Linked DNA regions of Arabidopsis thaliana. The protein of the gene in region 2 purifies or fractionates together with the protein of the main gene of each other region. This does not show direct contact. Each region holds a gene or a part of one and is shown on either strand. Other genes may lie near its edges. The genes, in order: LAP1, GDH2, LAP2 and AT4G30910.

Region 1 (7,950 bases), on a different chromosome or scaffold from region 2:
CCTAATCTACCAAATTCACTGTTCCCATCGGGACTACTTACTAATGAATATATTGAAAGCATGCACTTCGATCGATATGAGACAACATACGTAGTGACTGCGTAAAGATACATGGATTCATAAAACAATTTCACTAATGTTGCTACTTGCTAGAGGGGGGGATATCTTCACCGACAATGTAGCAAACGTTGCTTAAATAGTAAAAACTTAGGTCTATATTGCCTTTCTAAACTCTTAGACAATTCAGCGAAATAAACCTATCTTAAATCTTAGGTTAAAATGTGGCATAACATCTCTTAAATAGTAAAAGAGTCGAGCTTGGGTCGGATCCAACACAAATTCAAACGAAATGAAGCAACAACGTTATTTTGGAAAACTAAACACAAAATCATTATTAGCACATGTGTAAAGTATCATCAAATCACACGAGAACTAAACCTCTACAATAAGAAGAAACAAACTTGTCCTTAGATTTCTACAGTTAGAATGATTAATGAAAAAACAATGATTAAAATTTGAAATAAACAGTTATAATTGAACAAAGAACAAAAACTTACCAGGGAGTTCTCGTCTGGAGAAAAACTAGGAGGAAAAAGAAAGAACGACAAAAAAAATTGGATTCAAAAGTTGTAGGGTTTTACTTAGGTCTGGGCGTTTGATTATCGAATCGAATTCGGTTTGGTGTTTTCGGATTTCGAGTTTTTGGAAATAGATTCTAATTAATATCTATAAAAATAATTATAGAATGTGGTTCGACTTCGGTTTGGATATTTCGGATTTTGAATCGGTATGCATGTGATATTCAATATCTGATTTAAACAAAAAATCTAAACATAATCCAAACAATCCGAAAACCGCAAAACAAAACTGAAATGACTAGTTGAACTAACATGAAACCTTAGCAAACCATAGAGTTGGGAAACCAAAGTGAGACATAAAACGATGCCAATATATCAAAGTTTTAAAGCGAAGGTAAACCATAACATCCTAAAAATTAAAAAAGTAGCAGAATTCAATCGAAAGTAGTAAAAAAATTTTGGAAGATAGTGAAAACAAGCCAGCCTCAAGCTTCTTATTAGCTACATTTTCAAACTTGGACATGTCCCTGGTACAACAAAAGACACAAATTCGGATACATATCGAATATTGCATCGGATCAAGTATAATCTGGTACCTATGGATATTGAATGCGATTCGGATTTTAATCCGATTTTCCGGTTTGGATTATCGGTTTCAGATTAAACGCCCAAGCCTAGTTTTAATTAGTTAAGTTAGATTTAGTTTACAAATTACGCTTTTATTTATAAAATACTAGTAAAGTGAGCTTTTGGCCATCTTAAATATTTTTATTTTTAAAAAAATGGGATCATGGAAAGAGTTAAATTGTTACGGTGGCAATTATTTATATTTAGTAAAGTTATATTAAAAACTGTTTTTTAAGTGGTGGCAACTACCACCTCTTTACTAGGCGTGGATCCCTCAGAACATTGTTCTTTCAAATTAGTGGATCCCTGCCTGATTACATTGTTCTTTCAAATTAGGAGGGAAAAGTACACTGTATAGAATATTTGGCATGCATTTTATGCTATCCATGAAAGCCTTACAACAAGCGGGCATCATGTGACCGAATTTCTCTCCAAAAGCTTGAGAGATCTCTAATAAGCATCCTGGAACATTCCTCACGGACGAGAAACATTTTTTTACGTCTGGTAGGTTTAGTATACCAGTCGAGCGCAGAAATGGAAGCGGGTTTGAGAAAATAATCGGATATTGCTGTAGTTGAGCATTTACAGAAACTGCTACACAAATGGTTACTAGAACAAAAAGTACATTCTTTATCGTCATGATATATATTCTTATGGCAAAACAAAAGAAAAATTAAAATATTCTGATGTGTGATTCTTTTTCAAGTTTGTAACTGGGTGATGAAAATAACATGGGATTATTGTCTGATTTATATGAAAGAAATGAAGAACTGGCTTTAATTATCTTTAATGAAACTCGTTCGAGTATTTATTTGCCTATTTGGTAATTAATTTGCGGTTTCCAACATTGAAAAAGAGTTGAAAATGTAACGATTGTCTTTCAAAAAACGCATTATGAAAATGGAACCATGTCCATGTTAATATCACTCTCACCATTCTTAGTGTTATTAACTAATATATATTATGGAAGAGTTTTCTGTTCTCTTAATGTGTACATATCATCATGGTAAACATCCAATCAAACAAAGCCATGTCACCATTTTTTTTTTTTAACACTAAATTATAATTACAATGTTCATTTAATAAATATTTATTTCTATTAATATTAATTATTAACAAAAAACTAATAAAATAAAAAATGATTTTAAAATAGTAAAAGTCATAATGTGAAATTTTATTAGTAACAATAATATTATTAAAATTTTAACATAAACACAATTAAAAATGATCATACTTCAAAATACAAAAGAAAAAAAGAAGACAAAATTCAGAAAAAGAATCAAAAGATACATATGACATGTGAACAAATGGGTAGATTAGTATATATTACATGTTATACACATAATCATGTAGTCAACTTTTTTTAAGTTAGTTATTGAATTATTAAATTTTTATGGTCATACAGCCTAATTTCTCATGTATCAATTAGACCATTGTCGACAAAACAAAATAGAAAAAATAGTTGAATTGATTAGGCTCCATGTTTGACTGGTACGCCGTGTACTTGTCAATGTTCCGGACGGCGAATAGTATTTTTGATATTAGGAAATGGGGTTTACCTTCAAAATATTGGTGTGGACGGATTTGTGGATACTTGATCAGATATCAAAGGCGGCACAAAATGACCAACGATCGACGAAACAGTGCCCAAAATCAGAGTCAGAAGTGACTAGCTCGATAGCATGATCGATGCCCTTTCACCCATTTAAACCATTCCACCTAGAACACTTCAACACGACTGAAGCTAAAACTTTTGCATATCTCATAGAGATATGTTTGATAAGGTTGCTGAAAATAACAACTTCTACTATAATTTTGTCTTTTATTATTTCGACCTTCTCTTAAGAAATTCGCCCAAAAAAATTTCCAAATCAAAAAGTTGTTATTATCCTAACAGATCTTAAATTATATGTTTCGATTTTCGGTTATATACTGGTAAAATCTGAAATCCGAACATTAAAAAAAAATTGAAACCCAAACGGATACTCAAAAACACCTACAACCCAACCATTATACCAAAAAATAAAATCCAAACGTAAACCCAAAAAACACAAAACAATATATACACATATTTTTGGATTTTAAGGATCATTTGGAGCGTTTTTCTATATACATCGTTTAGGTTTTTGGAGTTTTTCGATTCAAAAATCGAATCAGAACATATTTCGATTCTATGGTCGCATTTTTTTTTTTTCGAGAACCATTCCGAACCCGTATAAATCCAAAACGAACCGATCGAAACATATTCAGTACCTTCCGAAATCTCCCTATCTAAAAAATCCAAAACCATGTCTTACCCTACAAATCCAAAACCCGAATTACCCTAATAAAATCCGATTCAAAGTCCGAATGTCTAAAAAATCCAAAACCCTATTTTACCCTACAAATCCAAAACCCGAATTATCGTAATAAAATCCAATCCGAAGTCCGAATGTTCAAGCCTAATTGAGCTACTCACTAACACACATCACACATGTGTAAATCACACCTAACTTCTCCTTCTATATATACGCCTTTGAAAGACCAATCCTAACTTTTCATTGTTTACTCTTTCGTCTTCCTTTTCAGAGTTCAATCACACAACACCTCTCTTCAATAGCAATAACCATGGCTCACACTCTCGGTCTCACTCAACCCAACTCCACTGAGCCTCACAAGGTTTGTTTCCTTCACTGTGATTTTGAAATGATTTTGTATGGAATCCAGTTTTGATTTAGTTCAAAGTTTTGATTTTTTGATTGATTCGAGTTTGAAGTTTTGATCTTTTGGTGACGATTATGCAGATCTCGTTCACTGCGAAGGAGATCGATGTAATTGAATGGAAAGGAGACATACTCGTAGTTGGTGTGACAGAGAAGGACTTAGCCAAAGACGGTAACTCAAAGTTTGAGAATCCGATCTTGAGCAAGGTCGATGCTCACTTAAGTGGACTTTTAGCTCAAGTCTCTTCCGAGGAAGATTTCACTGGGAAACCTGGTCAATCGACTGTTCTCAGGCTTCCGGGTTTAGGATCAAAGAGAATCGCTTTGATCGGTCTTGGACAGTCTGTTTCGTCTCCGGTGGCTTTTCATAGCCTTGGTGAAGCTGTAGCTACAGTTTCAAAAGCTTCTCAATCTACTAGTGCTGCTATTGTGCTTGCTTCAAGTGTTTCTGATGAATCTAAGCTTAGTTCTGTATCAGCTTTAGCTTCAGGTAACTTCAATTAGTATAACACAAGTTCGAGTCTTGTTTAGTACTGTTTTGGAAATTGGAACTGATTTGGGGTCTCATTGTTTATTTTTGGATAGGCATAGTACTTGGTTTATTTGAAGATGGTAGGTATAAGTCTGAATCAAAGAAACCATCTTTGAAAGCTGTTGATATTATTGGATTTGGAACTGGGGCTGAGGTAGAAAAGAAGCTGAAGTATGCTGAAGATGTTTCTTACGGTGTAATTTTCGGGAGAGAGCTCATTAATTCTCCTGCCAATGTGCTTACTCCTGGTATGAATTGTTGTCATTTATGAAATCAAATATTTTCGTGTTTGTGTGGTGTTCGCTGAGTTTTCCTAAACTGCTTTGATTTTTGTATCGTTTCAGCTGTACTAGCTGAGGAAGCAGCAAAGGTGGCTTCTACGTACAGTGATGTCTTCACTGCAAACATCTTGAACGAAGAGCAATGCAAAGAGTTGAAGATGGGTTCTTACCTAGCTGTTGCTGCTGCGTCGGCTAATCCTCCTCACTTCATCCACCTTGTCTATAAACCTCCGAATGGCTCTGTTAAGACCAAACTTGCTCTTGTTGGAAAAGGATTGACCTTTGACAGGTAACTAATCATTCTGTATTGCTTTGAATTTTACTCTGTTACGAGCTGGTATCTTTTCTTTGTTATTTTAGTGGTTGTTGATTTGAATATCTTGTGTACACAGTGGTGGCTACAACATTAAGACTGGACCTGGCTGCTCAATTGAGCTCATGAAATTCGACATGGGCGGTTCAGCTGCTGTTCTTGGCGCTGCGAAAGCTATTGGTGAGATTAAGCCTCCTGGTGTTGAGGTTAGTTTCTCCCATCAGATTCTTTTGAAAGCTATAGTTTGTTAACCGAACTGAACAGATTCGTCTTCCACAACCAGGTTCATTTCATCGTTGCAGCCTGTGAAAATATGATTAGTGGAACCGGAATGAGACCTGGAGATGTCATCACTGCCTCAAACGGAAAGACCATTGAGGTATCTGATGATTTTTTCCCCCTCAGAGTTGAGCTTTTACTGTTTTTCCTATGAAATGCTAATTGTTGGCGATGGTGTGTGTAGGTCAACAACACAGATGCTGAAGGTCGTCTAACACTCGCAGATGCTCTAGTGTATGCTTGTAACCAAGGCGTCGACAAGGTATTGCATTACTTTATTGATATGAGAAGCTAAAGGAGCTTGTTTCTGTTAAATTTATCCTTTCAGTTAAACATTGTCAAATATCTTGCAGATTGTTGACCTCGCTACTTTGACCGGGGCCTGTGTTATTGCTCTTGGAACTTCAATGGCAGGTACACAGCTCAAAAACCCTGCAGAAAAACTCAATCTTTGTGTCGTTTTTGAGTCCAAAATTGGCTCATGATGATCATTCTGTGTTCATTACTTGATAGGAATCTATACACCTAGCGACGAGCTTGCAAAGGAAGTGATTGCTGCATCAGAAAGGAGTGGAGAGAAGCTGTGGAGGATGCCACTGGAAGAGAGCTATTGGGAGATGATGAAGTCTGGAGTGGCTGATATGGTCAACACAGGCGGGCGGGCAGGAGGATCCATCACCGCGGCTCTCTTCTTGAAACAGGTGAAAACAAAGTCCCTTTAGAGGCTATACATACATGTTTTTGACAAAAAATTCGTCGGTGAAAGTAACTAAACCATCCTCTATTTTCTGTGGTATGGCAGTTTGTGAGTGAGAAGGTGCAATGGATGCATATCGACATGGCTGGACCGGTGTGGAACGAGAAGAAGAAGTCTGGGACCGGGTTTGGTGTTGCTACGCTTGTTGAATGGGTACAGAAGAATTCATCTTCGTGAATGAAACCTAGAGAGCGTGAGGGAGAGACTGTAGAGTTTTTCGGGTGTTGAAATGATTGCTGGTTTTTAATAAGGTCTCAAAAGTTACTATGTTTTCAGATGTTCTTAACTTGTTATGAAAAGTAAAATCGTCAAAAGTTGAATAAAGTGGTACTTTGTTTTAGTCGTGCAAAAATACTGTCTGAAATTTCTACTTTTGAAGTCTTCAACATTGGGTTCTCCTTTTCATTACTTTTTTCGGTAACCACTTCAAATTTTATGAACCATAATGTCAAATGCAATAATTGAACATCTTTTGAAAAAAAAACAGCATATGAGTGGTTACAAAACATGACTTTTATCTATCATAAAATAAAATATTTTTTTGATAATATTTTGAAGTAACTATTCTACTTAATACTCCTTTTGTTCCTTAGTACTGATTTTCTAACCGGTTTGCCCAGGTCCACGCCTTGAAGCACTGGGAAGTACACGAACCTTCACATTGTTGAAGATCTTTTGATCCCAAACCCTGTTTCCTATTTCTTTCAAAACAGAAAAAAAAGAAGCAACAATTAACAAATCATTTCTGTTATGCCAGTTTATTGCTTACGTATCTAGAGGAACCAATCCAAATTGAAAAAGAACTGTATGTCCATACCGGAATAATTATTACAAAAGCCAAAAATGAAGAGATATTATTACAATGATTCAGTTTTAGTTTTCATATATAATGAGCAAATCGTAAATTCAAACTGCGATGATAAAGTAAAATTGACGACTATTTTCTATGGATATTCTTTGATTTTAAAGATATATTTGCAAACATGGAATTATAACCAAAACTATATAACATTCGATTTTCATTCAATATCTCTGTTTTCTAAAACGGAAAATTTGAAGTGTATATTTAATACTCTACAATCAAATTAAACAAAAATCGAATAGTATACAAAATTGCTTGGAATATAAAAATTACTTGGATTTGAAGACTCATGATGTACTCGGGCCAATGCTGTGTTTGATAGTCCAGAGAGCAAGAGAAAACTCAAAGTTAATAAGCAAACGACGAATTTATACATTTTGGGTTGATTTAGATCTATGAATTCAAAATGTAATTCAAGCATATATATATAGAGAGATAAATGAAGCCCACGTTTTACAGTATTCTTTTTTATAAATGAAACCAGGTCAAAAAAATGGTTTGGTGTGTCCCGCGTGCAATGAAAAATTGAAAATTCATATGTGAACCTAATATATTATTATATCTCTCAGCGTGTTTCATTTTCAATATACAATGAAAATGCGTATGTGACTCTTGAAAATGTAAGATTTTCTATGAATTAGTCCAACTCTTGAAAATGTAAAGTTTTCAGGAGAAGAAGGTGGACGGTTTTATTAAGATCGTGTCAAAAAAAAAAAAAACAATGATTTGTAAAATAAACTAAACTTTCGACTAAACGATTGTAACCATTTATAAAAAAATTACGTTCAACAATAGAAGGTATTTATTCGGATTACAGTTTTCTGAAAAAAAACAAAATCATACAATATAATTTTTGTTTTCAGAATCATATATTTAACAAAAAATTGCGATAAAATAACACAACTGAAAAATATTTGTTCAAATTACTACTATTATATAAATTAATCTATTAAAAACTATAAAATATTTGTTTAAAACTTTTTCACCATTCAAACATTCATACTGGATAACATATTATT
Region 2 (7,634 bases):
GACAATTTTCTAACAAATATTATCTGAATTTTTATAAAATATAGGTGTTACAATAATGCATTCTATGCGAAAGTTGGAGGAATAACCACAGAGGAGATGAACTTGTTAGAGCTGGACTTCTTATTTGGAATTGGATTCCAATTGAATGTGACAATTTCTACTTATAATGACTATTGTTCTTCACTTCAAAGAGAGATGGTTATGAGGACGATGTACTCTCCACTTTTGGAACCTGCTTTTTTAGTTAGAAGTTTTCATAAGAATCTTCTAAAGAATTTGTACGACGAAGATCATCGTAATAGTCAAGTCACCAGTGCTGTTTGATACATTGGAATACTAGATCATCTAACAAATGGAACCTTTTAACGGAAATGTAACAATTTTTTTGAGAACTTCAAATTGAATTCCAGTAATATGTAACCGATTTTAATAAATGTTTTGGTTTCACTATTTGTGTTTTAATAATAATAATAATGAAGTAGCAAGCCACACAACTGATGAAACTAAAATTTGGGCTTTTTTTTTCCTGGAATATTTCATCCTCTGCTTTGAAACTCTCGTTTAATCCAATCATATATTTTATTCCAATTTGTTAGTTTTTATTCAATCCATTTGTTTCCTTTTCCATTTCGGAAAGCTCAATGATTTTCAGTAACAATGAAACCAAAAAAAAAAAAATGGAAAACAGAGCAAGCAAGAAACAGAGTATATAAGGGGGATTCAACTGAATTAAGCTTCCCAACCACGCAACTGGGTGGCTCGAGCGACTCGGTTAACTCCAAGAGTGAAAGCTCCCATACGGAGGTTGCAAGAATGAGTATGGCACATTGTCTTGATGTTGTGAAAGGCTCGAGTCATGTATTTTTGCAGCTCCAAGTTCACTTTTTCCTCTTCCCACATGAATCCTTGAATGTTCTGCACCCACTCGAAGTAACTCACTGTCACTCCTCCTGCGTTTGCGTAGATATCTGGAAGTATAATCACTCCTTTCTTCGACAGAATCTGCCAAAACCAAACAGATTAGGATTTTTATTTTCGGAGTTTCAGGGATGAGTTCTTGTGTTATCGATGCATTACCTCATCAGCATCTGGATCTGTTGGATGGTTAGCTGCCTCTACTATAAACTTTGCCTTCACATCTCCAGCATTTTCCCTGAACAAATATTGGGAAATATAAGAATCAGAAAGTGAATCTCTATGATTGGTGTTGATTTGATGAGTGAAGTTTTTGAACTGACTTGTTCAGGACACCACCAAGAGCGCATGGAATGAGAACATCACACTCATGAATGAGCAATTCATCTGAATTCATAGCGTCTCCACCATTGAAATCATTGAGACTTCCAGTTGCGTCCTTGTGTTTTATGAGAGCGTTGATGTCGATACCTTCAGGGTTCCTGATTGCACCAGTAATGTCGCTTACTGCAACCACTTTACCGCCTTTCTCGTGGATCAGCTTCGCAGCCCATGTTCCAACATTCCCAAAACCCTGTCACATATCATCCAAATCTCTCAACATTTCTGTCTTATATCATATACACAATAAAGCTTGAGATCTGAGATTAGCTGATAATGGTTTTACTTGAATAACAAATGTCAAACCCTGAATCGATTTCCCGTACTCAGCAAGAAGAGCTTCGGTGGCAAATACTACACCACGACCTGTGGCAGCTTCCCTACCTAATGAACCACCAAGATCCTACACCAAAGTGATCCAACAGTTACTTCTATACCAAAAAGCTCAAAACTATGGTAATCACATAGAAACATCGAATTAATTCAAATCAAGAAAACATCCATAGAATAAACAACAGATTCCGGACTCAGAATGATATAACCAAAATCTTAAAAGCCTTACAATGGGCTTTCCAGTGACAACAGCAGGGGAATGACCATGAAACTTGGAGTACTCATCAAGAATCCAAGCCATGGTTTGAGCGTTAGTGCCCATATCAGGAGCAGGCACATCGGTATGAATACCGATAAGATCATGAATCTTCTGTGTAAACACACGAGTCAACCTCTCAAGCTCGCTCAAACTCAAGTCACGAGGACTACATCCAATTCCACCTTTAGCACCACCATATGGAATATCTGCTACAGCAGTCTTCCAAGTCATCAGCTGAGCTAGTGCGTTAACTTCATCTGGATCAACCTTCAAACCAAAAAATCAAAACCCTTAATTCAAATCCCTAGATTCAATCTATAACCCCCAAAGTTGTCAACTTTAAATCCTAGATCAAGAACAAATGATAAAAGACCCTACCTCAGGATGATATCTGATTCCACCTTTCATGGGTCCACGAGCATTGTCATGTTGAACCCTAAATCCGATGTATGAAACCAGAGTGCCATCGTCTTTAGGAATCGTACACTCAACCTGAAATCAAAAGTAAAAAAATCCAAACAAAGATTGAGACGAATTTTCCCCAAAAACGAAACAAAAGAGTAAAACCTCAAAAGGAAAAAAAAAAGTCAAACCTTGATTTCTCTAAATGGGATCATAAGACTTCTCTCGATCTTCGAATCCAAACCCAGGATTCGAGATGCATGACGGAAGTTTCTGTTTGTTGCAGCTAAAGCATTCATGGTTTCTTCTCTATAAAAAATTCGAACTTTATGGAACAAAAAAAAAAAAAAAATCAACAAACCAAAAAATTCAAAGTGATCGGAAGATCCAAGATATCAGAAAGTGAAATTTGTATCTCGTGATCGGAGAAATTTACCGATTGTAAATGGGAAAAAGGTAAGAACTTGGAGTTTTTGATTTGTTGTGATGAATTGAAGAAGAAAGAATTGAGTATTTGTAGGGGAAAGAAGAGAAAGCGTAATTTGAATGAGATCGGATATTTTTGACGTATCCTACGTCAGACGGAGACTAATTATCGACTGCAATGACTCTTTTACCCCTTATTATTTATTTGGATTTCTCTAATCTTTTTTTTGGCTATCTCATCATTTTTAACTCCTTTTTAAGTCAAACATATCTTTAGAAGATTAACATTCCTTTAAAATTTACTAAAAAAATATTGGCTTGAGTTGGAAAGTTATAAATAATAATCGAAAAAATTACGGAAAAAAAATTTAGTAATTACAAGAACTACAAAAGTTTTTAAGAATATACCAACATGGTAAATTCGTAAATAACGGTGGAGAAGGTAGTAAATTTTGATTTTAACACTAATTGTTTTAAAAAACCATGTGATATTTTCAGGGATTTTTTTTTTTTTATAACTTTAATTGAGGAAAAGAAAACGATATTGGTTTCTTGAAATTTTCGGTTTCCGTTTTCTTACTGGTGTCCTGTGACAGGATCGGGACGTGGATACCCAATTAGGATGGAGCTGGGACAGACTGTTTTTGGGGACGGCGTTATATGACTTTTTACCTTGTTGATTACTATGTTGTATGACTCATTTATTTTTCCCAAATACAGTATTGTATTATCACTTTTATGAGACATTTAATGACATTTCATATTTGGAATACATATACAAATGTTATCAATTAGTACAGCAAATTGTGGATAAACTTCAGACCTGCTTACATAAGGTCCACGTTAGAAACAAAATAAAAACATGCATCTAGTGCAATTGACTCGCATTCTTTAAATACTAAGGCATTTTAGGAATATCTCTCCATAATTAGTGAAATTAAAAATGATTTTAATCCGAATATACTATAGAATATGACCAACAATATTTATTTAAAACATTTCCGAAAACGTATTTATATATATCAACAAAACGTGAAAGAAAAAAAATTGATCGTCGATGTTATCACGAGGAGATGCGAAAAACATGGAAGTAAAGCTCATTTAGGGGCGTGGATTCTCTGCGGATGTGACAATATTGTACTAATGGTTCTAAACAATCTTAGCCGTTGAAAATCGGATGGTCATTAAATCGTAAGAACCAGATTCCGAATCTAAGTCAGACTCAGCAGAACACGTTGCAGAAGTTGCTATCCTTCTCTTCTTTAATTGGATGGCGACTTTTTGCTGACCTGGCTGTGACGCGGCTACTCGCGGCGGCTTCGTCGGTGCATATCTATATTTTTTTTTTCTTTTGACCATTGGGTCTTCACTTAATTCAATAAAATTTATGCATGCATCTCTTATGGATTAAAATATACTAATTCGCCGAGAAAATTAAAGAAAGAAGAAGCTGATTCATATATATACGAAAAATATTGAAGTTTAACATTTGCAACTAGAACTATTAAAATGATGAGATCTAGAAAATGTGTGTGTTCTACTTTTTTTTGGTTAAAATAATCAAAATGTTTAATAAAAGCATATATATCATGGATAGACATTGACTCTTTCTTTTTGTTGGTACTTTAAACATATATACCATGAACGTTTAACATAAGAAAAACAAAAACAAATCATTAACTCAATAGGGTGTGAACATAATTATGATATTTTACAAAAACAAATTTTGTATATATATCCTATAGGAATTTCTAAATAAAGGAAAACAAAAACACCACAAACATCCGGTATATATAGAAATGAATGAATTGGAAGATTTATATATGTAGAAAAAATATTGATCAATTCATATCTTAAGCAATACAAAAAAAAAATAAAGAAACTAAAAAGATGGGAACATTTCAATTATAAATTAAAGAACGGTGTTACAACAAATAAGTTGTCTTAAGAAAAATTTCAGTATTTAGGAGGAGGAAGTAGCCATGTGGAGCCCTTAATGTAACCAAGAGTGAGGAAAGGCGTAACTTCGTTTTTGTCAATATCTTGTGTGTAAGGCACTCTCTTCTCTAAGTGTGACCCTGGTCCGAAACACTTGTATTCTCCATAGAACACCGTCCTGTATTTATACAACACACAATATCAAATTCAGTTTATAATCAAATATATATATAAAATGTAGTTCTATATGTAAATGAGATGATATGAAATGTTACGTACTTGTCATATCCGCGGTTGAGGTTCTCCCTCCAGCCAGATGGATTGACCACGCTGGTCATCTCTGTGAAAGCATAGACGACTTTAGGGTGGCTCATCCAAGACCTGCCCAAATAGATTCCGGTTCCGGTTCCAGTGACTTTGCAGTGCACGAACGTGTATCCGTTTTGTTCGGTTGCACTTTGTCTACCTTGAGCTGTGATCACTCTTAATCCATCTCCAACAGCGTGCAATTGCGTATTCTATCGAGTTTACATACAAATATATGTACTATTAATATCAAAAAAATGCTATATATATGTGTACCATGTTAAAAGATGTCTAATATTTAATTTTAAGGTTACCAAGTACAAGGAAGCTCCTCTTCCAAAGATAAAATCATAAGTTCCTTCGATGTAACAATCCTTGAAGAAATGGTTGCCCTTGTCGTCACAGAGAGTATCTTGAAAACCATGGAATCTACAACTATAGAAAGCTGCCTTATCAGCGTTGATCCTCATTGCTAGAGCTTGTCCCTGTGAACCTGGTTTCGGCATTGGAGCAGTGTTCTATAGTATAACAAAATCAAATTAATTAGTAGCGATTAATCTCTAACGTAATGTAGTAACGTATAACGAATATAGATATGCTTCTCATACTTTAATGGTGAGGTGAGCTGCCTGGAAATATTCAGCCCAGACGATAAGAGTTGCACTCTCAACGGTTCCGTACTGAGCGGCTGTCCCGTGGTAAGTCAAGACCGTTTCCGCACCAGGTTGACCAAGCAATGTAATGAATGGTCGAGCTATGTCGATTGTGACCTTCTCATTGTATACACCAGGAGCCAACTTGATGATCACACGGTTCTTGTTTCCTGTCGGAATGCTCTTGATAGCTTCGTTTAATGTCTTGAAATTAGCGCCACCTTTTTGATTCACCTGCAATGAGATTTTCATTTTTCACTCGAGTTAACATACATTTGTAAACTATTCATATAAGCAAAAATTTAACAACGCCTACTTAATTCGGTCAAATCGATATGAACCGAACCAAACCAAAAATCAGATTTTAGTAACTTACGGTGATAATTTGTCGCGCTGCTTCAGCAGCTTCGAGGGCGGGGTCTAGCGTGCCCTTTCTCTGGGAATATGGTTTAACGTTTGTTTTAAACCATTGCGGGATTTGGGCTCTGTTTTCTGGAATCGGATCTGTATCGGTGGCTAGAACCACCGGCGAAGCAAAAACAACAAGGAATGCAACCACGGACATTGAAATGTAACCCATCTTTTTATTTTCTTTTATTTTCTTTTATTTCTGTTACAAAATAAAAGAAAATAATGAAAAGGAAAAGAAAAACTAAGTGTTAATATTACTATCTTATTTACTTTTAAAAATGGAAGAAATGAAGAAGCCTTGAAGGGGTTTTTATACTTGTCTTGCTTGTTGATCTCTGACCGGACATATCTCATTTTTACTATTCTCGTCTGTGGTTTATATTTCTTGAAGCATTTTTGAATATCTGATTTTGTTATTATTACAAATTCAGTAATTTTGAATGGAGATAAATTCGCACATTCATCTGTAACCATCAACGAAAAGGAAAATTTACAGTTGGCAAAATCAACATGTTGAATATTGACTCATCCAAAAGGAACTATGTTGTTAATTTGCTATATATCTATCTATAGATTTACCTGAAAAGGACCTAAACCACAATTTATGTTTGAATGTAAATTTGCTAGACATGACAGGAGTGGTTAGTAGTTCAATGTTAATTAAAATGACACTTCCTAAATTTGGATTTGCTTTACGTCAATGACGCTTCCCACATTTGGCCGTGATTTTCGATCGAACTTATATATATCTCTTCAAATTTTGTGTTTTATTTCTACTAGACCGGTAATGTCAATTATCAAGTTTTTATAATAATAGAAAAAGATTACAAAATGTTCCACCAATAAAAAGCTATCCGTGATTTTCCTTTACAAAATTGTGAATCTACAATTTTTAACCAAAAACGTAATTTCACAACCATCTGCTAAAAATGTGATTCTTCAGTTTTTTTTTTTAAATCACAAGTTAACAATTTTCTACCAAAATACGAGTTCTAATATCAAACATAAAAAATGATAGAAAGTAATGTCCATATTATTTTTTGTTTAGAAATTGTCCCCAATCATTTTAACATTAACTAGAAAATATTTATAGTTAATGTGTTCGCAATTTCGCATACAAATATACTGTCATTCATAACATTAATCAGTCGCGTCACTCTATCCATGCACAATAATCAGTATGTTTGAATTCTTATCCGCTTCTCATTTGTGAACCATTGAGTATTTTATTATCATGAAACCAAAATTACACAAGTCTCTACTCCTCCATTATATACAGGAAGAGAGGATACTTCGAAAACAAAACGTACAATTGTAACATATACAGAATTTTAGTGATGATTGGGTCTGTTTAGTAAGCGGGAGGAGGTAGAAGCCATTTGGAGCCCTTGATGTAGCCGAGGGTAAGGAATTGGCTAGCTTCTTTGTTGTCAATGTCTTGTGTGTGTGCCACTCTCTTCGCTTTGTGTGATCCTGGTCCCGTGCACATGTATTCTCCATAGAACACCGTCCTATCATTCATTATATAAAAAATATTACTTATTAATGGTTGGTTCGCACTGTCACAAATCACATTTTAAACTTGTAAAAACTATTGCAATATCTTTTCT
Region 3 (7,950 bases), on a different chromosome or scaffold from region 2:
GGAAGAAGACACTGGTATCGACGAAGCTAAGACATACACGGTGGAGAAGAGCGAGAAAGTGGAGCCGGAGAAGGACGGACTGAGTCAATTCAGAGACGAGGAAAAATCACTTGGTGCGGATATGGAAGATTTACATGATGAGACTGTGCGAGAAACCCTAGGCAAGGATCAGGTTCAAGGTAACGGTTTATTCTGCGCAAAATTCTTTATTGGTTTTTATTTATTTATTCGAGACTTTATTTTTTGACGAAATGATGTTTGAGTTTACCAGGTGTTCGAGAAAATTCCTCTGTGGAACCAAATGTTGAAGATGTATTAGAAGTGAATGTGAGTTTGCTTCAGACTCTTCTGCTATTCATAAACTTTCTTAACACTTACAACTTTGATTCTCTCATTAACATTGATTGTGCTAGAACTTGTAAAGTTTAACTCATTTCAGTGTCTTCGATGTTACTCGTTCAGTGATTATACAATAACATGGGAATAGGATTAATCGTAATGGTTTTAACCTTTGGCCAAGTTCAATCTGTATCTGTATCAGTTTGATCTGTTACATTTTAGTGTGTCTGATTTCTTAGGCAATTCTGAGGACAAGAATCACTGTTATCAAGGCATGACATTTAACTGCTTTTTGTATCACATTGGCAGGAGACTGATAGCGTCAAGGAAACTGTTGTAAGTGCGATTGTGCCGGTTGATGAAGTGGAAGAGAATCGTCAGGTAGAAACATCTCCTTCTCTGGCTGCATCGTCAGACTCATTGACAGTGACGCCATGTCTATCTTTGGATCCTGCAACTGCTTCAACCGCACAAGATTTACCACTGGTTTCAGTTCCAACTAAACAAGAGCAAAGATCAGATTCGCCGGTGGTTAACAGATTGTCGGTTACTCCTGTTCCTAGGACACCGGCTCGTGATGGTTATAATTGGAGAAAATATGGACAGAAGCAGGTTAAGAGTCCCAAGGGCTCACGGAGTTACTACAGGTGTACATACACTGAATGTTGTGCTAAAAAAATTGAATGCTCCAATGATTCAGGCAATGTGGTAGAGATTGTTAACAAAGGTTTACATACTCATGAACCTCCCCGGAAGACTAGCTTCTCCCCGAGAGAGATTAGAGTTACAACAGCTATCCGGCCTGTTTCAGAGGATGATACAGTAGTAGAAGAGCTATCAATTGTTCCTAGCGGTTCAGATCCGTCTGCTTCTACTAAAGAATACATCTGTGAGTCGCAAACACTCGTTGACCGGAAAAGACACTGTGAGAACGAAGCTGTGGAGGAACCAGAGCCAAAACGAAGGCAAGTTTGTAGAATTTTGCATTTCGGTGCTTACTCTTCACTTTGAAAGATGAAATTAATAGACTTTCTTCTCTCTATTTTTCAGACTGAAAAAAGATAACTCACAGAGTTCAGATTCTGTCTCCAAACCTGGAAAGAAAAACAAATTCGTAGTACACGCAGCTGGTGATGTTGGTATCTGTGGTGATGGATACAGGTGGCGTAAATACGGGCAGAAAATGGTGAAAGGAAATCCTCATCCAAGGTCTAGAAAACTAAACGCATGACCCATCTCTTTATCCACATATGACATCTTCTAATACGCATGGTGATTGATTTGTTCTGTTTCAAACATTCAGGAACTACTACCGATGCACTTCAGCGGGATGTCCAGTTCGTAAACACATTGAGACAGCAGTCGAGAACACAAAAGCAGTAATAATCACATACAAAGGAGTACACAACCACGACATGCCGGTGCCTAAGAAACGCCATGGTCCTCCAAGCTCAATGCTCGTAGCTGCAGCCGCTCCAACATCAATGAGAACCAGGACAGACGATCAGGTGAACATTCCGACTTCAAGCCAGTGCTCGGTGGGGCGAGAAAGTGAGAAGCAGAGTAAAGAAGCATTGGACGTTGGTGGAGAGAAAGTGATGGAATCAGCTAGGACTTTGTTGAGCATTGGATTCGAAATCAAGCAATGCTGATTATATGTAGTTTATGAGTTTTATAGAGTTCATCGACTCAATTTTCGCCTCCTTGTTCTTGTTATATAATAATAATAAAAAACCCCATGAAGATTACCAACTAAATACGTTAACATTCGTCTGTGTAATGATGGTATATGTTTATTGTGATATTAAATCGCTAATTTTAGTGAATAGCCTCTGGTTCGTCTAGAGGGTCTTCTGAAACTTGAAAGGGACTAAAAGACGAGAACAAAAACCCTTTCTCTCTACTCTGTGTAAACCCTAGTGTGTTCGTGCTCTCCGATGGCGAGTCTTCGATGCTTTCGTGAGCTGAGCCGCCGCGCTACGACTGTTTTCTCCATCAACCAGACGCGATCGATCTCTTCATTTCATGGGATTGAGTTTTCCGGGACCAGCATTTCTCATGGGACCGTAATTCCGAATCGATCTCTCACTAGGAATTTGCCATGGTACAGTCATTGGTATCGCTCTCAAGATCGTTGTTTCTCTTCGAACACAAAGGATACTGATGAAGATGAAGAAAGCAGTGAAGGAGAGGATGATGATGAGGAGGAGGGGGAAGACTTTGAGGATTCGGCGGATATGGAAGTAGAAAGGGAATATTCACCGGCGGAGAAAGTGGAAGAGGCGGAGGAGATAGGGTACAAGGTGATGGGTCCTCTTAAACCTTCGGAGAGACTTTTCAAACCCTATGAACCAGTGTTTGCCATTGTTCAGGTCTCGTCTCTGTGCTATCTCAATTAATCCTTTAGTTTCATTTCTCACTCTCACTGATGCTGAGTGGTTATTTTTATCCTGTAGATTGGTTCGCATCAGTTTAAAGTTAGCAATGGGGACTCCATTTTCACCGAGAAGTTGAAATTCTGTGACATCAATGATAAGGTATGCTAGCTTCAAGCTCTTCTTCGTTAATCTTTGCTATTCTTCTCTCAAAGGGCTAGACTTTACCGTATCTCTCGTAAGAAGGACGAACCTTTGCATTTGTGTTTATGATTTATGATTGTTGCTAAAACCTTTCTCTTTATGTCCCTTTGCAGTTGGAACTAACCAAGGTTCTTCTATTGGGCTCGGCAAGCCAGACGATTATTGGTAGGCCTATTTTGCCAGATGCGACAGTTCATGCTGTAGTTGAAGAGCATGTAAGTGTCTCATTGACTTGCTTGGTGTTTTATAATACTAGTGAAGCTGTGCTTAAGAATAATTTACAATTGAAAAGAGGATAGATGAGAGTTTGCTTGCTGAATCCGGTGACTGAGAGAAACTAAATCAAACTGTCTGCTGATTAGTTTGTGAAAGTCTTGCAAGTCATTAGATTAGTGTTCATCTATCTCTACATCATCTGAATGTCTTGATTTAAGATGGGCTTGGAATGTAGAAGGATCTACTCATGTACCAGCATTACTCAACTAGTTTTTCCTTGATGCGTGACAGGCTTTGGATGAAAAAGTGCTCATTTTCAAAAAGAAACGAAGAAAGAATTATAGGAGAACGAGAGGACATCGACAGGTATACTTTATAACTCCTTGTTTAGATAGACAGTGTGTTTATTTCATCTTTGCCTTCTTCTAGTTCTTTCCACTGTGTTATGATTGTTGTTTTTGACCATTCAACACTTGTGTCCAGGAATTGACGAAGTTGAGAATAACCGATATACAAGGAATTGAAAAACCAGAACCGAAGATCGTCCATAAGCCTTCGAAAGAAGCTGTTACAGAACAGACGAAGGCTGAGCTAGTTGCTTAGAGATAAAATTTGCTTCTTTCTTTTTTGCTGATGCCGATACATTTGAAGTAAGTTAAATTATCACTTGCTGTTCACTAAGAACTAGATTTTAAAGTCGTTGAAATGATGAAAAGGCCTTCTTGGTAGTTAGTGGTAAGTAACTAGGCTCCTGAGATATGAAATGTGATTTGCCTTTCACTGTCTTGTTCTCCTTGCTCTTCATTTTGTATTTAAACTGGCTCATGCTTGTGGGAGCTGTTTGTTGCTTCTGTTTCAGAAATAAAGATTTGCGGAAACATCTCTCTCCTTATCTTCTCTATGCTTTGTACTTTGTACTGTACTACTGTGGTTTGGTTATGGTTTAATTTACTTCTTCATGCAAGTCTCGGTCACAGATATGAAACTGGTGGTAAATTGGTAATAACTGCAAGTCACATTACACTCAAAATCTCGATTTTTTCCACTATGACTCTTTAGATCAGGTGATTATTATTGTAACTATATATGGCAACCACTTCCTCATCAACAAATGATTCACAGAATTGATAGTACTTGGAACTGATTTATAATTTCTTTTATCAACATCGGAAAATCGTGTAAGAATGCCTTGAAATATTTGAATGTTTGTAAATAGTATCAAAACCATTGTTTGTATAAATATGTATAAAGAACTTAAACAAAAGCAATTTGGAGCCAAAGAGAATTATAAAGCTACACGAGTACGTAAGTCCATGGTTAAGATCGGGTCGGGTGGGGACGGGTTGGATAAAAGCAAACAATGAGTCAAGTAAAAGAAGAATCATCGTCAACAAGAGAGAGAGAGAGATAAGCACAAACGCGGCTTTTCTTCTCCTTATAAATAAGAGAAGCTCAGTGCGTTACTCAAATGGCCGTCACTTTGGTAACGTCCTTCGCTTCTTCGTCTTCTCGCTTCCATTTCCGCTCATTCTCCTCTTCTCCGTCGTCTCTCTCCTCTTGTTTCGTCCGATTCCAGTTCCCCTCTCGCCTTAGACTCGCTTTTGCCGTCACGCCTCTCTACTCTTCTTCTAGAGCCATGGCTCATACAATCTCACACGCTACTCTCGGCCTCACTCAGGCTAACTCCGTCGATCATCCTAAGGTTTGTTCCTGATCGCTTGCAGCATTATTCGATTTTGCTGTTATGTGTTTAAACTCGATACTAGTGAATGCTTTGTAGATTCGTCGCTTTACTGTTTCCGATTAAGATGATCCACTGATTTGCTGACTTCGATTATGGTCAAGTCTTGTCAGAGATTAGCTTTCGAGTTTGAATTTTTGTGGTTAATTGGATTCTGATTAGTCGAATTTGCTGTATCAGATCTCATTTTCGGGGAAGGAGATCGACGTGACGGAATGGAAAGGTGATATACTCGCTGTTGGAGTGACGGAGAAAGACATGGCTAAGGATGTGAACTCCAAGTTCGAAAACCCGATTCTGAAGAAGCTTGATGCTCACTTGGGTGGACTTTTAGCTGATGTCTCGTCTGAGGAAGATTTTTCTGGGAAACCTGGTCAGTCGACAGTTCTTAGGCTTCCGGGTCTTGGGTCTAAGCGAGTTGGTTTGATTGGTCTTGGAAAATCTGCTTCAACTCCTTCGGCTTTTCAGAGTCTCGGTGAGGCTGTTGCTGCAGCTGCTAAAGCTTCTCAAGCTAGCAGTGTTGCAGTTGTTCTCGCCTCCTCTGAGAGTGTTTCTAATGAATCTAAGCTCTGTTCTGCGTCAGCTATAGCTTCAGGTGTTTTATTTGTTGTTGTTGTGGTTTCGTCTATTAAAGCTCGAGAATGGTTGTTTCATTACCATTTTGGAACTGATCGTTATGTGGAATTGTTGTTTATTTTTACAGGCACAGTGCTTGGTTTGTTTGAAGACAGCCGGTATAAGTCTGAGTCGAAGAAACCATCACTCAAATCTGTAGATATCATTGGCTTTGGCTCTGGACCTGAACTAGAGAAGAAGCTTAAGTATGCTGAACATGTTTCTTATGGCGTTATTTTCGGGAAAGAACTCGTTAATTCTCCAGCCAATGTTCTCACTCCTGGTGAGGATTGTTTCTTGAGCATCAGTCTTAGACTTTTCATTTTTTTTTTTTTTAATAATGTGAGCATCATGTCTGTTGAAGTTTATTTCAAACATTTTTCTCTAATCTGCTTTGTATCTTACAGCCGTACTAGCTGAGGAAGCCTTGAATCTGGCTTCCATGTACAGTGATGTCATGACTGCCAACATCTTGAACGAGGAGCAATGCAAAGAGTTGAAGATGGGTTCATATCTTGCTGTAGCTGCTGCTTCAGCTAATCCACCTCATTTCATACATCTTATCTACAAACCTTCTAGTGGCCCTGTTAAAACAAAACTTGCTCTTGTTGGAAAAGGATTGACATTTGACAGGTACTAGAGCTGTTGGCTTCTGTTTGCCGCATCAATCTCTTTATTTAATACTTATTAGTTATTGACCAGATGGTTTTTGTTCACAGCGGTGGCTACAACATTAAAACCGGGCCTGGCTGCTTAATTGAGCTCATGAAATTCGATATGGGAGGTTCAGCTGCTGTTCTTGGCGCTGCAAAAGCCATTGGTCAAATTAAGCCTCCAGGTGTTGAGGTAAGTTTATCACACGGAGCTTGCGTTTCTGAGTTAAATGAATGTACCTAAACAAATGCTTCGTTGCACAATCAGGTGCACTTTATTGTCGCAGCTTGTGAGAATATGATAAGTGGTACTGGAATGAGACCTGGAGATGTCCTCACAGCCTCAAACGGAAAGACGATTGAGGTATCATAACACCGTTTCCATATGAATTCAGCTTCAAAAGGTTCGAGCTTTCCATTGTTAGTTTTACGCCAAACTAATTGTGGGTGGTATTGCAGGTCAACAACACCGATGCTGAAGGTCGACTAACACTTGCAGATGCTTTAGTTTATGCTTGCAACCAGGGTGTCGATAAGGTATTGTTTCAAAGATTCTTCGACTTATTAATACATTCTTTCTGTTGGTTTTTCTCTCAAGTCTCAACTTGTGAATTACAATATTTGCAGGTTGTTGACCTTGCAACATTGACTGGGGCTTGTATTATTGCTCTTGGAACATCAATGGCAGGTACATAGTCTTGTGTTTTAAATAAGACAGAATAAAATTCTTTCGTGATGGTTGACTATTGGTTTTTCTGCAGGCATATATACACCTAGTGATAAGCTTGCAAAGGAGGTGATTGCTGCATCAGAGAGGAGTGGAGAGAAGTTATGGAGAATGCCTATGGAAGAGAGTTACTGGGAGATGATGAAGTCAGGTGTTGCAGATATGGTTAACACTGGAGGCCGTGCAGGTGGATCCATTACCGCGGCTCTTTTCTTGAAACAGGTGAGTATATCATAAGAGTGGAAACAAAAGAACACATTTCAATACTGACGCTATTGTTCTCTAACGAAGAACCGGGTTTGGTTAATGGTTGCAGTTTGTGAGCGAGGATGTTGAGTGGATGCACATAGATATGGCTGGACCAGTGTGGAACGAGAAGAAGAAAGCTGCAACTGGGTTTGGAGTTGCGACACTAGTTGAGTGGGTACAGAACCATTCTTCTTCTTAAGATGAAGTCTGGTGATCTCTGACTGATGTGAACTAGTTGTGTTTTTGCTTTGTGTGGTGGGACAAGTTTTTTTTTTTTGTGCAACTAAGTATGACAAGTTAAATCAATCAGAAGATTAGTTTTGTTGTTGTATGCTTACCTAGTCTAAACTTAAATTCAACAACCACCGTGAGAGACACAGTTGAGCCACCGTTGTTGCTGTGTCCCGTCATGTTGTTGTATTTGAATGGGTCCGTGAGTTGTTGAGAAGGAGAGATAGTCGCCGTTCATCACCACTACAGCCACCGTGTGTCACCGGAGAGTGACACCACGAGTCACAGGATGTCAACCGCTGTCACCGGAGTAGTCGTAGTCCATCGCCAAGGCCGTTAAGGGTAAGGAAACCCTAGATCTATTATGTAACTTGCTCAGGAAGTTTTTGGCTTTCTCTTATGATCTGTGCTTTGTTTTGGTTTTGATTGTTGAGCTATGAGACCTTACTGCCGTGAGCTTAAACCGCCTCATCGAGCCCCGAGCAGATCCACCGAGAGTAATCGCCGAGAAAGGTAACGGCGAACCTTATCTCCCGTGTTTGTTGTTGATTATTGAACCGGATCTTAACCAGTCTAAACCAATGACTCTTAATTTAGTTA
Region 4 (8,292 bases), on a different chromosome or scaffold from region 2:
CAACCCTGGATGAGAGTCGTAGACTTGAGAAGACATGAAAGGGGTAGAGAGACGGAGGAAGAAGAAAGAGAGGATTTGTTCTTCTCTGCAAATTCGTAATGGGTAATCATCCGAATTTGGAGGAGAGCTAAGTTAGAGAGATAGATAGAGAGAGAGACGGACCTTTCGGGGATTTTGAGAAAAGGAAATTAGGGTTAGGTTTCTGCTTCTGTCTTTTGTCGGATAGTTTTGAGGAGGAGAACGGAGCTTAGCTTAGCGCCGTGTTTGGATCTTCTTCGTCTCCTTTTTCGTCAAAGGCGTCGTCGTATCTTTACAAATATAAATCTCGGTTCGGTTTTGTATTCACTTTGGTTTAATTCGGTTATTCAACAAAACTATCTCAAACAGTTGTTGTTACTCCTGTTTGGTCTGAACGGTTATTAAAAACTCACGTGTCTGTAGGGGTTCCATGTCTCGGGTTCGAAGCTTGTCTGAAATTAATTTTAAACCTTAAAAAAATCTAGAGAGAGACCAAAAAGCCGACGATTAGTCCACCGTGACTCCACCGGTCCCTCCACCGTGACTTCACCGGTCCCTCCTCCGATTAGTTACTCTTCTTCTTCTTCTTCCCCCGTTTCCGATTTGATTTGTTTCTGAAGTTGCTGATTTATACATGTATCAGGAAATGGCTTTAAGAGACTTTTGGTGATCAAAGGGCATGACTTTCACAGATTTTCCAGCAAAAGTCGTCAAATGTCCAAGACTCATTTTCTCCACTGTTGTTGTTGATAAGAGTCTGAAACAACAAGGTTCGTATTGGATTCCTCAATAATATAATATAATAAATTATGTTGATTGATTTTCTTTCTTCGAATCCTGAGCTGTTTTTTCACATAAAAATTGATAAGCTTTTGACTTATTATTGAAAATCATGTAGGTCACGACGACGATGAGCTGCTGCTGATGTGAGAGAGACCTTTGTTTTTATTCGTCTTACCAAACCATAAAGAAAGAAGAGAGAAAACTAGAGGAAGAAGAAGAAGAAGAAAGGAGACAAAACAATGAGTGTGTCTTTGAGTGTGATGTCATTCAATCTTCACGATGATCTACCTGAAGAAAGCCCTAATTCATGGCTCAAAAGGAAAGATTTGTGTCTCACTGTCATCACTAGTTACTCCCCCATTGTTCTCTGTACCCAACAAGGTAATAATCTTTAGCCACAATGGATCAATGCTTGTTAGATCTTTGATTCCTTCTTCGTATTGGTGATTCAATGCTTGTTAGATCTTGCTTCCTTCTTTATATTGGTTCTCCAAGAAGGCTTCTTTTTCCTGAATGCTGGAGATTGATTCTTGTGCTTTTTCTTGCCTTCTGAAATATTGAACAGAGATAGGATTTTCGTTTTGATCTTTTGTTATCATGTTTACATTGGTTAGGTGTGAAGTCGCAGTTGGATTATCTTCAGCAGGGGTTGCCAGGTATAATTGAATTCTCTTTGATTTATGGAAGTCTAATCTCTACTTAAATGGTGTGAGTTAGGTCTAATTGAACCCTGTTTGTATACAGCAGTCTGCTTCTTCTTAAGTTCACAGACTAGTGTGAATCTTGTTATCAATCGTAGACCACTCTTCTTGTTCTCAATCTACTATGTAAATCTATTTGTGATCTACTAGATTTAATTCTATTTTTAGTATATGTTGGTATTGCTTAAATCTGATAGCCAATTTGTCAATCCGTATCCTTTTTTGCATCAAGTTCAAGTTAGTGTTTTTAGGCTACAAAAGCCGGAGTCTAGTGCACTTAATGCATCTGTTTTATGGCAATGGAATGCATGATATTCTCACATTTACAGGTGCTTTCTTTGAAATGATGGTGGTATTGTTTATCTGGTTTTTGTTACTGTGAACCATGGAGCTTAGCTTCTAGTTTCACATGCCTTAATAATACTTCAGTTTGCATTGTTTCTTTGAACTTAAATAGATGGTAGTACTCTTTGCTTGCAGCCTATGATCAATTTGGCATATCAAGAACAGGACCTGGGGATGCTAATGATGAACACTGCACCATCTTCTTCAACAAGGAAAAAGTATTAATTCGGTTGATAAGACAATACATAACTACGCTCTAAATAATTAATACGCTGCTTGATACTATACTTTATACTAATTGAAGGTAGAGCTGCTAGAGGGTGGAACTTTTTGGTTGTCAGAGTCTCCCTCGGTCCCTGGAAGCACGGCATGGGGTTCCGCAGTTCCTTGTATAGCGACATGGGCTATATCCTTTTTACTAGTTGGGTTCATTTTAGTTAAACTATAATTAGATTAGTTTATGATTTTGGTGTTTTTGTCCTATATATCAGTATTTTGGTTTTCTTTGACAAGCTGCCTACACATTCCAACTTAAAGGAGCGGAGCCGCCTGGTTTTTCGTTTCAGATAGTCAACACAAACTTGGATGAAATCAGCCCTCGTGCCCGTAGGCGAAGTGCTTTACTCACATGGCAACACATAGCATCATTACCTCCCACTTTGCCGGTTGTGTACTGTGGAGGATTCAACACACAGAAGGAATCAACAACAGGGCGGTTTCTGTTGGGCAGATCTAGGTACCTTAATATCACATTCACAAGTTTTGTGCTTTTTACCAATCTCCTAGAGTTTTCTTTCAGGGCTCCTAGTTAATGCAAGAATGGCTAAACCATTCTTCACACACTGATCAACTAGTTTCAAATCAAAGCATATTTACTTATTTGACTGCTGATGAATGGCTTTTGGGCATCATTCAACTTGCAGAGAGCATGGTGTGGTAGGAGATATGAGAGACGCATGGCCAAGTGCCCGAGTAAGAAAAAACGTCGCTCTCATAAGAACATACCATGATTTCAAAGGTGTGAAACATTCCACCCTCTCATGAGCTATAAAAATCATTTATCTCCAAAGCTTCTAGATCATAACATGTTGGGCCTTTGTTCAGGTGACAAGCAGGGAACGGTCGAGTTCCTGAAGCTGATATTCAGAGCGTTATGCCTCTGCTGGGACCGACAGACGCAAGATCTACACACGGATTGGATACTTTACAGAGGTAGATCTATAGTTCCTGTAATGTGCGAGATCGTAAATGATAAGATTGACGACTTGTATCCTTCATCTCACTACCCTGTGTTTGCTGAGTTTATGCTTCCTCGTTCTGTAAGAATGCTTGAACCTACTCCTCCTGTTTCTGCTCCTGCTCAAGAGGAAAGCTAGAACACATGTCCTCACTTGCTTAAGCTTTGGACTATACTGATTGTTGTGCAAATGAGCTCTGTTTTTTTCTCGGCGCCTTTATTTATTGATTTGAGCTAAAACATATTCAAAAGAGATTTAAATAAATTGTTTTGTTTGCTCCTAATAGTTTGTGTTATTATTGATGACCACTGAAACATAAGATTGACGACTTGTATCCTTCATCTTGTGCTCCTAATAGTTTGTGTTATTAGGTAAGTGATGTTACGGAACACAAGAATATCTACAAATAGTCAAATACTTTCAAATGGGTAACTCGTCATATTCAAGCGTCACACTTCACAGTTCACACAAGCAAATAAAAACCCTTTTACCTACATTAAAACCTCTGAGAATGTTAAATAAGAACTGGGAGCACAAAGATCACCTGCCTACATCTTAAGAAGAATTGTTCTGTACCCACTCAACAAGTGTCGCAACTCCAAACCCAGTCGCAGCTTTCTTCTTCTCGTTCCACACCCGTCCAGCCATATCTATGTGCAACCACTCAACATTCTCGCTAACAAACTGCAACCATTAACCAAATCCGGTTCTTCGTTAGAGAACAATAGAATCAGTATTGAAGTGTGTTTTTTTGTTTCCACTCTTATGGTATCCTCACCCGTTTCAAAAAGAGAGCTGCGGTGATGGATCCACCTGCACGGCCTCCAAAGTTAACCATATCTGCAACACCTGACTTCATCATCTCCCAATAACTCTCTTCCATAGGCATTCTCCATAACTTCTCTCCACTCCTCTGTGATGCAGCAATTACCTCCTTGGCAAGCTCATCACTAGCTGTGTACATGCCTGCAGAAATCAAAAATCGAAACCAATATTCAATCATCACGAAAGAATGTCATTCTGTCTATTTTATACACAAGACTATGTACCTGCCATTGATGGTCCAAGAGCAACAATAATCTCCCCGGTCAATGTTGCAATGTCAACAATCTGCAAATATATATGATTCACAAGTTGAGAGAAAACCCAGCAGAAAGAATGTTATTGATAAGGGGAAGAATCTTTGAAACAATACCTTATCGACACCCTGGTTGCAAGCATAAACTAGAGCATCTGCAAGTGTTAGCCGACCTTCAGAATCGGTGTCGTTGACCTGCAACACTAACAATGGAAAGCTTGAACCTTTCGAAGCTGAATTCATATGGAAACGGTGTAATGATACCTCAATTGTCTTCCCGTTTGAGGCTGTGATGACATCTCCAGGTCTCATTCCGGTACCACTTATCATATTCTCACAAGCTGCGACAATAAAGTGCACCTAATTGTGCAAAGAAGCATTTGTTCAGGTACATTCACTTAACTCAGAAACTCAAGCTCCGTGTGATAAACTTACCTCAACACCGGGAGGCTTAATTTCACCAATGGCTTTTGCAGCGCCAAGAACAGCAGCTGAACCTCCCACATCGATTTTCATGAGCTCAATTATTAATTCAGGCCCAATTTTAATGTTGTAGCCACCGCTGTGAACAAAAACCAGATGGTCAATAACCAATAAGTATAAAAGAAAGAGATTGATGCGGCAAACAGAAGACAACAGCTCTTGCGAGTACCTGTCAAATGTCAATCCTTTTCCAACAAGAGCAAGTTTGGTTTTAACAGGGCCACTAGAAGGTTTGTAGATAAGGTGGATGAAATGAGGTGGATTAGCTGAAGCAGCAGCTACAGCAAGATATGAACCCATCTTCAATTCTTTGCATTGCTCCTCTTTCAAGATGTTTGCAGTCATGACATTACTGTACATGGAAGCCAGATTCGAGGCTTCCTCAGCTAGTACGGCTGTAAGATACAAAGCAGATTAGAGTCAAATGTTTGAAATAAACTTCAATAGACATGATGCTCACATTATAAAAAACATGAGAAGTCTAAGAGTATGATTATAATCCATACCAGGGGAGAGAACATTGGCTGGTGAATTAACAAGTTCTTTCGTGAAAATTACGCCATAAGAAACATGTTCAGCATACTTAAGCTTGTTCTCTAGTTCAGGTCCAGTGCCAAAGCCAATGAATACTACAGATTTGAGAGATGGTTTCTTTGACTCAGACTTATACCGACTGTCTTCAAACAAACCAAGCACTGTGCCTGTCAAAAGTAAAAAACGATTCCACAAAAGGATCAGTTCAAAAATGGTAATGAAACAAGCACTTCTCAAGGTTTACTAAAAGAAATCACAACCTGAAGCTATATCTGAAGCAGAACTGAGCTTAGATTCATCAGAAAAACTCTCAGAGGAGGCGAGAACAACTGCAACACTGCTAGCTTGAGAAGCTTTAGCAGCTGCAGCAACAGCCTCACCAAGACTCTGAAAAGCCGAAGGGGTTGAAGCAGATTTTCCAAGACCAATCAAACCGACCCGCTTTGAGCCGAGACCCGGAAGCCTAAGAACTGTTGACTGGCCAGGTTTCCCAGAAAAATCTTCCTCAGCCGAGACATCAGCTAGAAGTCCACCCAAGTGGGCATCAAGCTTCTTCAGTATGGGGTTCTCGAACTTGGAGTTGGCATCCTTAGCCATATCTTTCTCCGTCACTCCAACAGCGAGTATATCACCTTTCCATTCAGTCACGTCAATCTCCTTCCCGGAAAATGAGATCTGATACAGAAAACTCGAGTAATCAGAATCCAGTTAAGCATCTGGAAAGCTAATCTCTGACAAGACTTGACCATAATCGAAGTAAGCAAATCAGTGGATCATCTTAATCGGAAACAGTAAAGCGACGAATCTACAAAGCATTCACTAGTATCGAGTTTAAACACATAACAGCAAAGTCAAACCTTAGGATGATCGACGGAGTTGGCCTGAGTAAGGCCAAGAGTAGCGTGTGCGATTGTATGAGCCGTGGCTTTAGAAGAGCAGTAGAGAGGCGTGATGGCGAAAGAGACTCTAAGGCGAGACAGCAACTGGAATCGTACGAAACAAGAGGAGAGAGACGACGGAGAAGAGGAGAAAGAGCGGAAATGGAAGCGAGAAGAAGAAGCACATGACGTTACCAAAGTGACCGCCATTTGAGAAGTCTCCACTGAGCTTAGCTTCTTTATATTTATTTATAAGGAGAAGAACAGAGTGGCTGATGCAGACATATATATATATATATATATATATAGTATGAAATTAGAGTTATCTTAGAAAATTAGAGTGGCCCAGTCTCTTCTTGCGTCCGCCCGCGTCCGACCGTCGTGTCTTGTTGACGATGATTATTCTTTTACTTGACTCACTCACTATTGCTATTATCCGACCCGATCTTAACAATCTTGATTAGCTGTAGACTTCTTTTCAAATTTTAATGTGATCATGTTTCACTATTACTAAACTTATCTTGATAACCATATCTGAAATACTTACTACTGTTATTTGTTGCCTTCAAATTTAAAGTTGTTTATACAAAACATAGTTTTGATACTATTTATAGAAATTCAAATATTTCAAGGCATTCTTACACGAAGTGATAAAAGAAATTGAAAAACACGTCAGTATTATCACTTTTGTAACTCATTTGTGGATCAATAGGTGAAATCCAATTAAAAATACATGATTTAATCTAATAACCAAACCAAATTTAGAAATCTCGATTAATTGATTTGGTATTCTTCCAATTAAATTAATTAGACTTGGTTTAATAATTAAACCAAACCAAATTCTTATAATCTAGTTACACCACACAGACGTAATAATACACCAACAACGCAAATTGTCATTGGTTTCGGTTCTGGTCTTAACTAAATTAAGAGTCATTGGTTTAGACTGGTTAAGATCCGGTTCAATAATCAACAACAAACACGGGAGATAAGGTTCGCCGTTACCTTTCTCGGCGATTACTCTCGGTGGATCTGCTCGGGGCTCGATGAGGCGGTTTAAGCTCACGGCAGTAAGGTCTCATAGCTCAACAATCAAAACCAAAACAAAGCACAGATCATAAGAGAAAGCCAAAAACTTCCTGAGCAAGTTACATAATAGATCTAGGGTTTCCTTACCCTTAACGGCCTTGGCGATGGACTACGACTACTCCGGTGACAGCGGTTGACATCCTGTGACTCGTGGTGTCACTCTCCGGTGACACACGGTGGCTGTAGTGGTGATGAACGGCGACTATCTCTCCTTCTCAACAACTCACGGACCCATTCAAATACAACAACATGACGGGACACAGCAACAACGGTGGCTCAACTGTGTCTCTCACGGTGGTTGTTGAATTTAAGTTTAGACTAGGTAAGCATACAACAACAAAACTAATCTTCTGATTGATTTAACTTGTCATACTTAGTTGCACAAAAAAAAAAAACTTGTCCCACCACACAAAGCAAAAACACAACTAGTTCACATCAGTCAGAGATCACCAGACTTCATCTTAAGAAGAAGAATGGTTCTGTACCCACTCAACTAGTGTCGCAACTCCAAACCCAGTTGCAGCTTTCTTCTTCTCGTTCCACACTGGTCCAGCCATATCTATGTGCATCCACTCAACATCCTCGCTCACAAACTGCAACCATTAACCAAACCCGGTTCTTCGTTAGAGAACAATAGCGTCAGTATTGAAATGTGTTCTTTTGTTTCCACTCTTATGATATACTCACCTGTTTCAAGAAAAGAGCCGCGGTAATGGATCCACCTGCACGGCCTCCAGTGTTAACCATATCTGCAACACCTGACTTCATCATCTCCCAGTAACTCTCTTCCATAGGCATTCTCCATAACTTCTCTCCACTCCTCTCTGATGCAGCAATCACCTCCTTTGCAAGCTTATCACTAGGTGTATATATGCCTGCAGAAAAACCAATAGTCAACCATCACGAAAGAATTTTATTCTGTCTTATTTAAAACACAAGACTATGTACCTGCCATTGATGTTCCAAGAGCAATAATACAAGCCCCAGTCAATGTTGCAAGGTCAACAACCTGCAAATATTGTAATTCACAAGTTGAGACTTGAGAGAAAAACCAACAGAAAGAATGTATTAATAAGTCGAAGAATCTTTGAAACAATACCTTATCGACACCCTGGTTGCAAGCATAAACTAAAGCATCTGCAAGT

Evidence for each region.
Region 1: the proteins of GDH2 (region 2) and LAP1 fractionate together in Arabidopsis thaliana (co-fractionation; one large-scale study listed by BioGRID). This does not show direct contact.
Region 3: the proteins of GDH2 (region 2) and LAP2 fractionate together in Arabidopsis thaliana (co-fractionation; one large-scale study listed by BioGRID). This does not show direct contact.
Region 4: the proteins of GDH2 (region 2) and AT4G30910 fractionate together in Arabidopsis thaliana (co-fractionation; one large-scale study listed by BioGRID). This does not show direct contact.

Annotation. Positions count from the first base shown.
Region 1 is NC_003071.7:10,285,313-10,293,262, reverse strand, and holds LAP1 (Cytosol aminopeptidase family protein), read left to right. Parts: upstream 1-3,577; 5' UTR 3,578-3,812; coding exon 3,813-3,863; intron 3,864-3,988; coding exon 3,989-4,397; intron 4,398-4,492; coding exon 4,493-4,687; intron 4,688-4,783; coding exon 4,784-5,009; intron 5,010-5,112; coding exon 5,113-5,239; intron 5,240-5,316; coding exon 5,317-5,412; intron 5,413-5,496; coding exon 5,497-5,574; intron 5,575-5,665; coding exon 5,666-5,726; intron 5,727-5,825; coding exon 5,826-6,013; intron 6,014-6,114; coding exon 6,115-6,246; 3' UTR 6,247-6,457; downstream 6,458-7,950. Other genes in the region: AT2G24205 (ECA1 gametogenesis related family protein), read right to left, coding at 1,501-1,845; AT2G24195 (uncharacterized protein), read right to left, coding at 6,673-6,770, 7,205-7,352. UniProt on the Arabidopsis thaliana protein: Presumably involved in the processing and regular turnover of intracellular proteins. Catalyzes the removal of unsubstituted N-terminal amino acids from various peptides.
Region 2 is NC_003076.8:2,351,108-2,358,741, reverse strand, and holds GDH2 (glutamate dehydrogenase 2), read right to left. Parts: upstream 2,984-7,634; 5' UTR 2,590-2,983; coding exon 2,482-2,589; intron 2,381-2,481; coding exon 2,267-2,380; intron 2,156-2,266; coding exon 1,859-2,155; intron 1,700-1,858; coding exon 1,583-1,699; intron 1,490-1,582; coding exon 1,239-1,489; coding exon of another isoform or gene 1,196-1,238; exon of another isoform or gene 1,154-1,195; coding exon 1,078-1,153; exon of another isoform or gene 1,003-1,077; coding exon 730-1,002; 3' UTR 501-729; downstream 1-500. Other genes in the region: CYCP4;3 (cyclin p4;3), read left to right, coding at 45-324; AT5G07430 (Pectin lyase-like superfamily protein), read right to left, coding at 4,673-4,832, 4,934-5,172, 5,275-5,478, 5,569-5,847, 5,990-6,193; AT5G07420 (Pectin lyase-like superfamily protein), read right to left, coding at 7,376-7,535.
Region 3 is NC_003075.7:15,045,957-15,053,906, reverse strand, and holds LAP2 (Cytosol aminopeptidase family protein), read left to right. Parts: upstream 1-4,468; 5' UTR 4,469-4,602; coding exon 4,603-4,836; intron 4,837-5,055; coding exon 5,056-5,470; intron 5,471-5,578; coding exon 5,579-5,773; intron 5,774-5,897; coding exon 5,898-6,123; intron 6,124-6,209; coding exon 6,210-6,336; intron 6,337-6,411; coding exon 6,412-6,507; intron 6,508-6,602; coding exon 6,603-6,680; intron 6,681-6,770; coding exon 6,771-6,831; intron 6,832-6,904; coding exon 6,905-7,092; intron 7,093-7,186; coding exon 7,187-7,318; 3' UTR 7,319-7,450; downstream 7,451-7,950. Other genes in the region: WRKY32 (WRKY DNA-binding protein 32), read left to right, coding at 1-179, 272-327, 649-1,304, 1,390-1,548, 1,643-1,991; NFD1 (Ribosomal protein L21), read left to right, coding at 2,277-2,711, 2,796-2,876, 3,032-3,133, 3,426-3,500, 3,618-3,737. UniProt on the Arabidopsis thaliana protein: Presumably involved in the processing and regular turnover of intracellular proteins. Catalyzes the removal of unsubstituted N-terminal amino acids from various peptides.
Region 4 is NC_003075.7:15,038,981-15,047,272, forward strand, and holds AT4G30910 (Cytosol aminopeptidase family protein), read right to left. Parts: upstream 6,365-8,292; 5' UTR 6,269-6,364; coding exon 6,038-6,268; intron 5,856-6,037; coding exon 5,441-5,855; intron 5,348-5,440; coding exon 5,153-5,347; intron 5,042-5,152; coding exon 4,816-5,041; intron 4,726-4,815; coding exon 4,599-4,725; intron 4,524-4,598; coding exon 4,281-4,523; intron 4,196-4,280; coding exon 4,135-4,195; intron 4,052-4,134; coding exon 3,864-4,051; intron 3,770-3,863; coding exon 3,641-3,769; 3' UTR 3,377-3,640; downstream 1-3,376. Other genes in the region: AT4G30900 (DNAse I-like superfamily protein), read left to right, coding at 1,041-1,182, 1,416-1,457, 1,983-2,065, 2,152-2,253, 2,369-2,583, 2,771-2,865, 2,952-3,223; LAP2 (Cytosol aminopeptidase family protein), read right to left, coding at 7,609-7,740, 7,835-8,022, 8,096-8,156, 8,247-8,292. UniProt on the Arabidopsis thaliana protein: Presumably involved in the processing and regular turnover of intracellular proteins. Catalyzes the removal of unsubstituted N-terminal amino acids from various peptides. Possesses Cys-Gly dipeptidase activity.